Linked DNA regions of Bombyx mori. The protein of the gene in region 2 binds, or shares a complex with, the protein of the main gene of each other region. Links are inferred from orthologs where the notes say so. Each region holds a gene or a part of one and is shown on either strand. Other genes may lie near its edges.

What was found.
Region 1: general transcription and DNA repair factor IIH helicase subunit XPD (region 2) and DNA-directed RNA polymerase II polypeptide share a complex: the UniProt entries of both Homo sapiens proteins name them as parts of the TBP-based Pol II pre-initiation complex. The link is inferred for Bombyx mori from reciprocal best matches to the Homo sapiens genes ERCC2 and POLR2C.

Annotation. Positions count from the first base shown.
Region 1 is NC_085131.1:5,447,859-5,450,942, forward strand, and holds DNA-directed RNA polymerase II polypeptide, read right to left. Parts: upstream 1,654-3,084; 5' UTR 1,543-1,653; coding exon 715-1,542; 3' UTR 684-714; downstream 1-683. UniProt on the Homo sapiens protein: Core component of RNA polymerase II (Pol II), a DNA-dependent RNA polymerase which synthesizes mRNA precursors and many functional non-coding RNAs using the four ribonucleoside triphosphates as substrates.
Region 2 is NC_085127.1:13,502,664-13,507,108, reverse strand, and holds the start of general transcription and DNA repair factor IIH helicase subunit XPD, read right to left. Parts: upstream 3,117-4,445; 5' UTR 2,943-3,116; coding exon 2,938-2,942; intron 2,867-2,937; coding exon 2,767-2,866; intron 2,677-2,766; coding exon 2,579-2,676; intron 2,504-2,578; coding exon 2,347-2,503; intron 1,454-2,346; coding exon 1,351-1,453; intron 1-1,350. Other genes in the region: zinc finger protein ZFP2, read left to right, coding at 3,538-3,645, 4,066-4,200. UniProt on the Homo sapiens protein: ATP-dependent 5'-3' DNA helicase. Component of the general transcription and DNA repair factor IIH (TFIIH) core complex, not absolutely essential for minimal transcription in vitro.

The DNA.
Region 1 (3,084 bases), on a different chromosome or scaffold from region 2:
ATTGCTGAAGTCCATGGGAGACGGTAACCACTCACCATCAGGTGGGCCGTATGCTGGTCTGTCTACAAGGGCAATTAAAAAATATACATCTAATGAATATTTTGAATTGTTTTTTGCAGTAAGATCACATCACTAATTGTTCTAAACAACAGAATAATACTGCTGTGTATAAAGTGACAAATGTTTTAATTGATTATGTATACATAATAATAAAACAATATTGGTTCTAAGTTTCTATACTTTTATGAAAGTTTAACTACTTAAATTAATATGTACAATGAATTAAACAGAAATTATTGTAACATTAATTTTTTTGTCCATATCTATGTATCAGAAAGTAAAATTTCCTTTTTTATTTAGTAGCTACTGAGTATCTTCTTAGGCAAAAAGCTGCAGATTATTATTAAATCATATGTTTCTTGTGATTACAAGGCCGTAGTATTAATTTGTGTTTAAAGTTGTATTCATGTTGTGCAAGTTGTGTATAAACCTCTTAATTGCATTCCACAAGTATTACTAGTTTTTGATGTGAAACAGAAACATTCACTTTAGTATGATTTTTTCTCAAAAAGACTGCAGACTGAAATACTGTGTATAACATTCTAAGCTTTTGAAAAATGAAGGCTTATACACACCATAAGGTAAAATGTAAACTTAAATTACAAAAACATTTATTATCTAATTAAATTTATTGTAATATTAGATTTTATGAAATCAATTAATTGCTAAGGCATCATTTTGTGCCTCTTGCGCTAACTGCACTTGAAGATTCAGTAATTTGTTTTTCAGTACAACTATTCCCATTAATACAATATTCTCTGGTTTAAGAGCTCCTGATGATTCTACATTATAAAAGAATTTGTTTGGTTTCGCTTCCCAGTTGAAGTCCGCCTCATACTGATCTTCATTAAGTTCAGTGTGCTCGCTTTTGGGCCATTCATCTGGTTTTGGATATAACGTATGTCTCATTATATTATCAGGGTCATATTCAAAGGACACACCAGCAGTTGGATTCCATTTTGCATGCTCTTTCCCAAAACCTTTTTTTGCATATGCCCGAAGCTTCAATTCCTGACCCTTGCGTAACTTAATGATCAATATTTCATCTGCTTCACCATAATCGGCCTGGTCTTCATCTCTATGTCGTGATGTAACAGGGACAACTCTAGGATCGCTCGATTTCAAATCAGCAGTTGTTACATGTCTTGTTTGTTCATCTGTGCATTTTACGTCTAATGTAAATTCGACACTGCATTCGGAACAAAAATCAACACACATGCAATCACGCGAGTACCTGATTTTGTCTACAACGTCGTCTGATATGAGCGGAATGAGACCGATGCGGTGTGCTAAGAATTCATCGCTCAAAACGGTGGAATTAGCTTCTAACTGTACCCAATCGATGGCCATTGTTGGTGTTTCAGCGATAAATACGCGTCTCATACTGTTTGCTACGCTTAATTCGGTATCTTCCACAACGAATTTTACATTTTCATCAGATAGTTCTGTTATGTGAACAGAGGGTTGATTTGCGTAAGGCATTTTCTGTTTCTTAAATCTAATTTAATGAATTAGGTTTCTTTTTAATGAAACTAACACCATCTAATATATAACAAAATAAATAACGAATAACACTTCCAAACAATCAACTTGTTAGCCAAATTCTAACCTCTGTGCTTGTCACATATTTTTTGTTTCATTTACTACACAGACAAAGGGAACGAAGCTCATACAACCAATTTTTTTGTAATAAAGATGTTTAACCTTGCTGGTGAATGAATGTAAAATGGAACTAAGCTAACCTTATGTATCATCATCATCAACTTATAGTAGTTCAACGCTGAAAATAGGCCTCTCCAATTGCCGAGCACGATCTTCAGCTTCTCTCACTCATTCTTGCCAGCCTTATGTATGTGTTGAATGAACTGAAATGATGTATATAACGTTTCGGTAAAATGCTGGAAATTAACTAAGAGCTCAATGGAGTTTTTGGAAGAAGCCAGTAGACCTGTAGTCGTCGTGGCCTAAAGGATAAACGTCCGGTACATTCGTATCTAGCGATGCAACGGTGTCCGAGTTCCGCAGGCGGGTACCAATTTTTCTAATGAAATACGTACTTGACATATTACATCGTGTAATAAAAGTCAAACCCGCAAAATTATAGTGTGAGTCCGGACGGGTAGGTACCACCACCCTGCCTATCTCTGCCGTGAAGCAGTAATGCGTTTCAGTTTGAAGGGTGGGGCAACCGTTGTAACTATACGGAGACCTTAGAACTTATATCTCAAGGTGGGTGGTGCATTTACGTTTTAGATGTCTATGGGCTTCAGTAACCACTTAACACCAGGTGGGCTGTGAGCTCGTCCACACATCTAGGCAACAAAAAAACCAAAGATGCCACATCCTGCGGTTAACTTTAATTTTCCCACTCTTTTCATCAATTAATTTCGGTAATTAAAATATGACTATAACGAGACTTCTTGTAGTTGTGGCTATGTAAATAAAGGACAACTAGGTTATCTTCGACATAAGCTATGTGCAGTGGCGTAACGATCTAAACTCGCGTGGAAACTCCCCTTTTTTCCTTTTTATTTACGAATTAACATTTATTATAGTACATTGGTACTAAATTAAAAATATATTTTTTAGAAATCAATTATAAAAAAAAAATCAGCAATTTTTTGTTTTGCGGACCATTTGGCGCCCCTTTGTGAATAGCGCCCGGGGCATGATCCCCCCTTGCCCCCCCTCGCTACGCCACTGGCTATCTCTATAAACCAAATCACTAAAATATATTCATATGTATTAATATTCACTAGAATATTATTAATTACGCAGTAAATAATGATTGTCGAGTTAACGTACTCCGTTGTTCCTTATCATTTCCAATTATAAACAACATTCAGTTAATAAATCTGTAGCTTGGCACTTGTGTTGCCAAATTAACTGTTACAAAATATATTTTAATTGGAACTATACTTGTACTGTAACTATACTTGAGGCCTTAGAACTTGTATCTCAAGGTGGGAGGCGCATTTACGTTGTGGATGTCTATGGGCTCCAGTAACCACTTAACACCAGGTG
Region 2 (4,445 bases):
CATAATGCAGCTCCATTGTGAAGTTGTATTATCTCAAGATACATAGCTATTTAAGCCTGTGTCTATGGGGTCACAATGACAAAATACAGTAATAGTTTTTTTATCCACAGTAGCAGGTACAGCCCACAGGATACTGAGCAGTGACTGATGCTTATCGGCATGTGAAATAAATAAATAATCAAGTTGCTACATATAGCGGTTGTAAATATCTTATATCTATGCAAGTCTTTCATATACTAATAAAATACATAATAAGCAAATGTTCTCGATTAACTTCCAAGGTGAAAGAAATAACATTGTGTAATAAAAATAAAAACCGCAAAATTATAATTTGCGTAACTACTGGTGGTAGGACCTCTTGTGAGTCCGCGCGGGTAGGTACCACCACCCCGCCTATTTCTGCCGTGAAGCAGTAATGCATTTCGGTTTGAAGGGTGGGGCAGTCATTGTAACTATACTGAGACCTTAGAACTTTTATCTCAAGGTGGGTGGCGCATTTACGTTGTAGATGTCTATGGGCTCCAGTAACCACTTAACACCAGGTGGACTGTGAGCTCATCCACCCATCTAAGCAATAAATAAAAATAAAAAAACAGATTAATTTAGACATATTTTATATGAGTCGACTATTATCAAAGCCGGCAATCTGACTTTTGGACAATGATTGGTAAATCAGAAAAACGAATTATTGACTTTGTATTCCATTGGCAGTCACAAAACTCTTCTGAACGACATCTTAGATAAATAACAGGTTAAGTATTAACCTTTATTTAATGCAGGTTTTGAACCGTATTCTTTGAAGGAGACGATTATATTCAAATCAATCTGTATTGACATATCAATAGGAGCCTCTGGGTCTGCGGAGGGACTTCGGTTCCCTCTGTATTTTGTACCGTATGTTCCATGGGGAGTGCTCTGAGGAATTGTTCGAGATGATACCAGCATCTCGTTTTTACCATCGCACCGCCCGCCACCGGAGTAGAGTTCATCCATACAACCTGGAGCCACTGCGATCATCCACAGTGCGTTTCCAGAGATCTTTTTTGCCACGTACCATCCGGCTATGGAATGAGCTCCCCTCCATGGTGTTTCCCGAGCGCTATGACATGTCCTTCTTCAAACGAGGCTTGTGGAGAGTATTAAGCGGTAGGCAGCGGCTTGGCTCTGCCCCTGGCATTGCTGAAGTCCATGGGCGACGGTAACCACTCACCATCAGGTGGGCCGTATGCCCGTCTGCCTACAAAGGCAATAAAAAAAAAATAAAAAAAACATATCAATAAAATTTTTTTGTCCAAATGCACAGATTGCCACCTTTGATAATAGACAACTCATATCAAGGCGAGAACTTACAAATTGGCACAGAGCTATCACGTTCATGCCTGTCTCGTATATAGCTTGCTGTGAGGGCATGACATTTGCCATCTACAAGCTTCCCTTCTCTTTCTCTTGATACCTGTTATTAAAAAAAATTACAATAGATTAATTTTTCGATAATATCCTATTAATAAAATAAATTTAAGTATGCATTTTCTCTACGCATTATTTTCAAATGAAGTGATGAGAGGTAATCATATTATTATGTGGTCCACATTATTTATTTGGTGGAAATTTCCCATGATGCCAAAAGTCACCTATAAGTTTAATAATTAACTTAAGTTCTTTAATAAAATTTTGTAGTGCTTTTGTTTCTCTTTGAAATAAATAAATCAAGGGCTTATGAAATAAGAGCTTCGGGAATGAAGTATTTTTTAATTATTTTAATAAGTTTCATGAGGTCTCTTTTTGTTATATATTGTAAATCTTCATTAGTTAAAAATTTCAATTTTTTTTATTTATCTTGCTGTTTCAAACTGGAATCTATGCCCTAGTTCCTTAGGCTGATTACTATTTGAGGAGCACTCAAAAGGAGAAAACAATTTATGATCATTTATGTTTTTCTAGCAGAATGATAAAGCCACAAACATGGCACCTACTTTTTAGGTATTAAATTACGTACAAGTGTTTCATCCAGTATCCTGATACTGAAATTTAGCAATCACAAATCAATAGAGCATGGGTCAAGGGTGGAAGGTTCTAATATTTTTTGTCTATGCATTTGTTACTTAAATTTGTTTTAAAATAATTCCAAAACAAAAGTAGAGCAGAAACTGGGCGTTTTGGACATGACATGAGAGGAGCTAGAACAGACTGCCCAAGACTGATATAAATGGAAGAATTTTATTTGAGCCCTACATCACGGCCTAGGGAAATAGAAAAGAAAGAAGAAGATAATTCCAAAAATATAGTACTAATCATAGATAACAAATGCACAATATTTTTTGTTCAGACTTATAAATTGAAACTTACATCAGGATGAATACATAAGTTTTTCCTGGAACTAAGAACAACTCCTGTTAAGTTCGGTTTCTCTCCTTGAGATTTCTCATAATAATTGAATAAATTCTTTAGTTCTTCTAACACTTTTTCTATTTCTGGCACTGTACGAGAGCAGTAGATTAACTTTCTGAAAAAGTATATGTACATATTTTTTTATAATTAATTAATTTTAATCATTAATGTTCTTGTTCATTTTAATTACCTGACATGATGAGGGTTCTGTATCATATAAGCTACGATTAAAGACAGGAGCGATATGGTTTTTCCGGTTCCGGAAGGCATCTCTAACAATCCATGTCCCTACAAGTTCAAGCAAGATACACAACATAACCTTAAAATTTTAGGATTTTGTTTAAAGTAGATTCCTTTTTTAATACAGATTTTGAATACCTTAGCGTCCAATGCACGTTTTAACTCTAACATATAAGCATACTGTTCCGGATAAATGTAATCGTATGGGAAATAGACCAATAAACCATCGACAGTTAGCCTGAAAAAGTAATGAGATTATTAAATTAATGGTATTTGTTTTTTTTATATATTCATTTATTAGTGACATACTTCATGGTGAAAATATAAGCCCTTCACAACTATCTATTTTAAATAATTATAAACAAACAAGTCAAGCAATACATGAATTAATTAAATAACCACTTTGTTTTGATTCGAGTGACAGACATATATTAAGTGTATAATCTATGTGACAGACTACCACAGAACACTATTACTTGCAGACTACCTACATTAAAAACTAATAATTTTTAATGGCTTTTATAACCTGGTAACTAAGACTTTTAAGTCATGTCTTATTTTAATTTATATAATTATTTTTATGAAAAATGATAAAATGGAGTGAAATGAAATGAAATGATAAATGACCACCATTTTACTGCGATTATATTTCATCCCATATCATCTCATCTCATTTCATTTTATTTCATCCTAGTTGATTAATGTCTCAAAATTATCATCTTGATTTCATTTCACTCCATATTATCATTTTTCATAAAAATAAGAATACCTATAAATTAAAATAAGACATGACCTAAAGGTCTTAGTTACCAGGTCATAAAATCACTTAAAAAAAGTGTAAGAAAGAAAAACACAAATAGTGACAAAATGACAAAATTAACATAGCAAAACATTGTTATTTTGATAATTATGGGGAGCGATACAGTCTGTCGGATCTGTCTGGAATTTAATGTTAAAATGTACAGTTTAAAGTTTTATCCATTGGAGACCTATTATGAAGATATCGTAGAAGTTAACGTAAGTTACATTCATTCGGAAAAGCTATTGTGTTGGATTTGTAACGTTTGACCGGGTTCTAGTTTGTATAGGAATTGAATTTGGTTTTTGTAATATTTAATAGTGAATTAAACAGTTTGTCATAATAATGATATTCCGTGAAAAGTAAATGCAACTTCTAAGATAAAAACAACAATTCTAACCTCAAATCCCGTAGAGCACGAATAATTATAAACTAGTAGATAGGTCGGCCTTTTTTTTACTGTCCTACATTGTTCCAATTTTCAATAAAAAAACGTGTATCAAAACAAAAACATGTGTATTTAAAAAAAAAAAATTATAATACCTTATTTGGATTCGCTGCTTGCTGCTTAATTGCTTTGGGATTATAATTGTTTATTCATACTTTGTTAATTGACGATGTTTTTATTTATTTTGCAGCCCGAATGTTCTCCAGATCTACCACAGTGTGTATGTTATCTTTGTGCAGGATTATTGAAAAAGTATAGCAGATTTAAAAGTAAATGCTTAGTTGCACAATCCTTATTTTATAAAATACTAAAGTCTGGTAAAAAGGTAATATTAGATTTTGTTCAAACCTTTTGTTAGACATTTTTATAAGTATAGGATGCATATTCTTTGGATCGTAGAAGTTAGTGCTATGATTTGTTCTAGCTTTTTCTCTCTGCTGAACAAAAATATAATCAAATATAAGTTTAACTAACTGTAGATCTAAAATTGGGAAACTAGACAAAACTAAATTACATAAAATTATTCAATTATGAAATATTAAATATAAATTATTAAAAAATGTGTGTCAA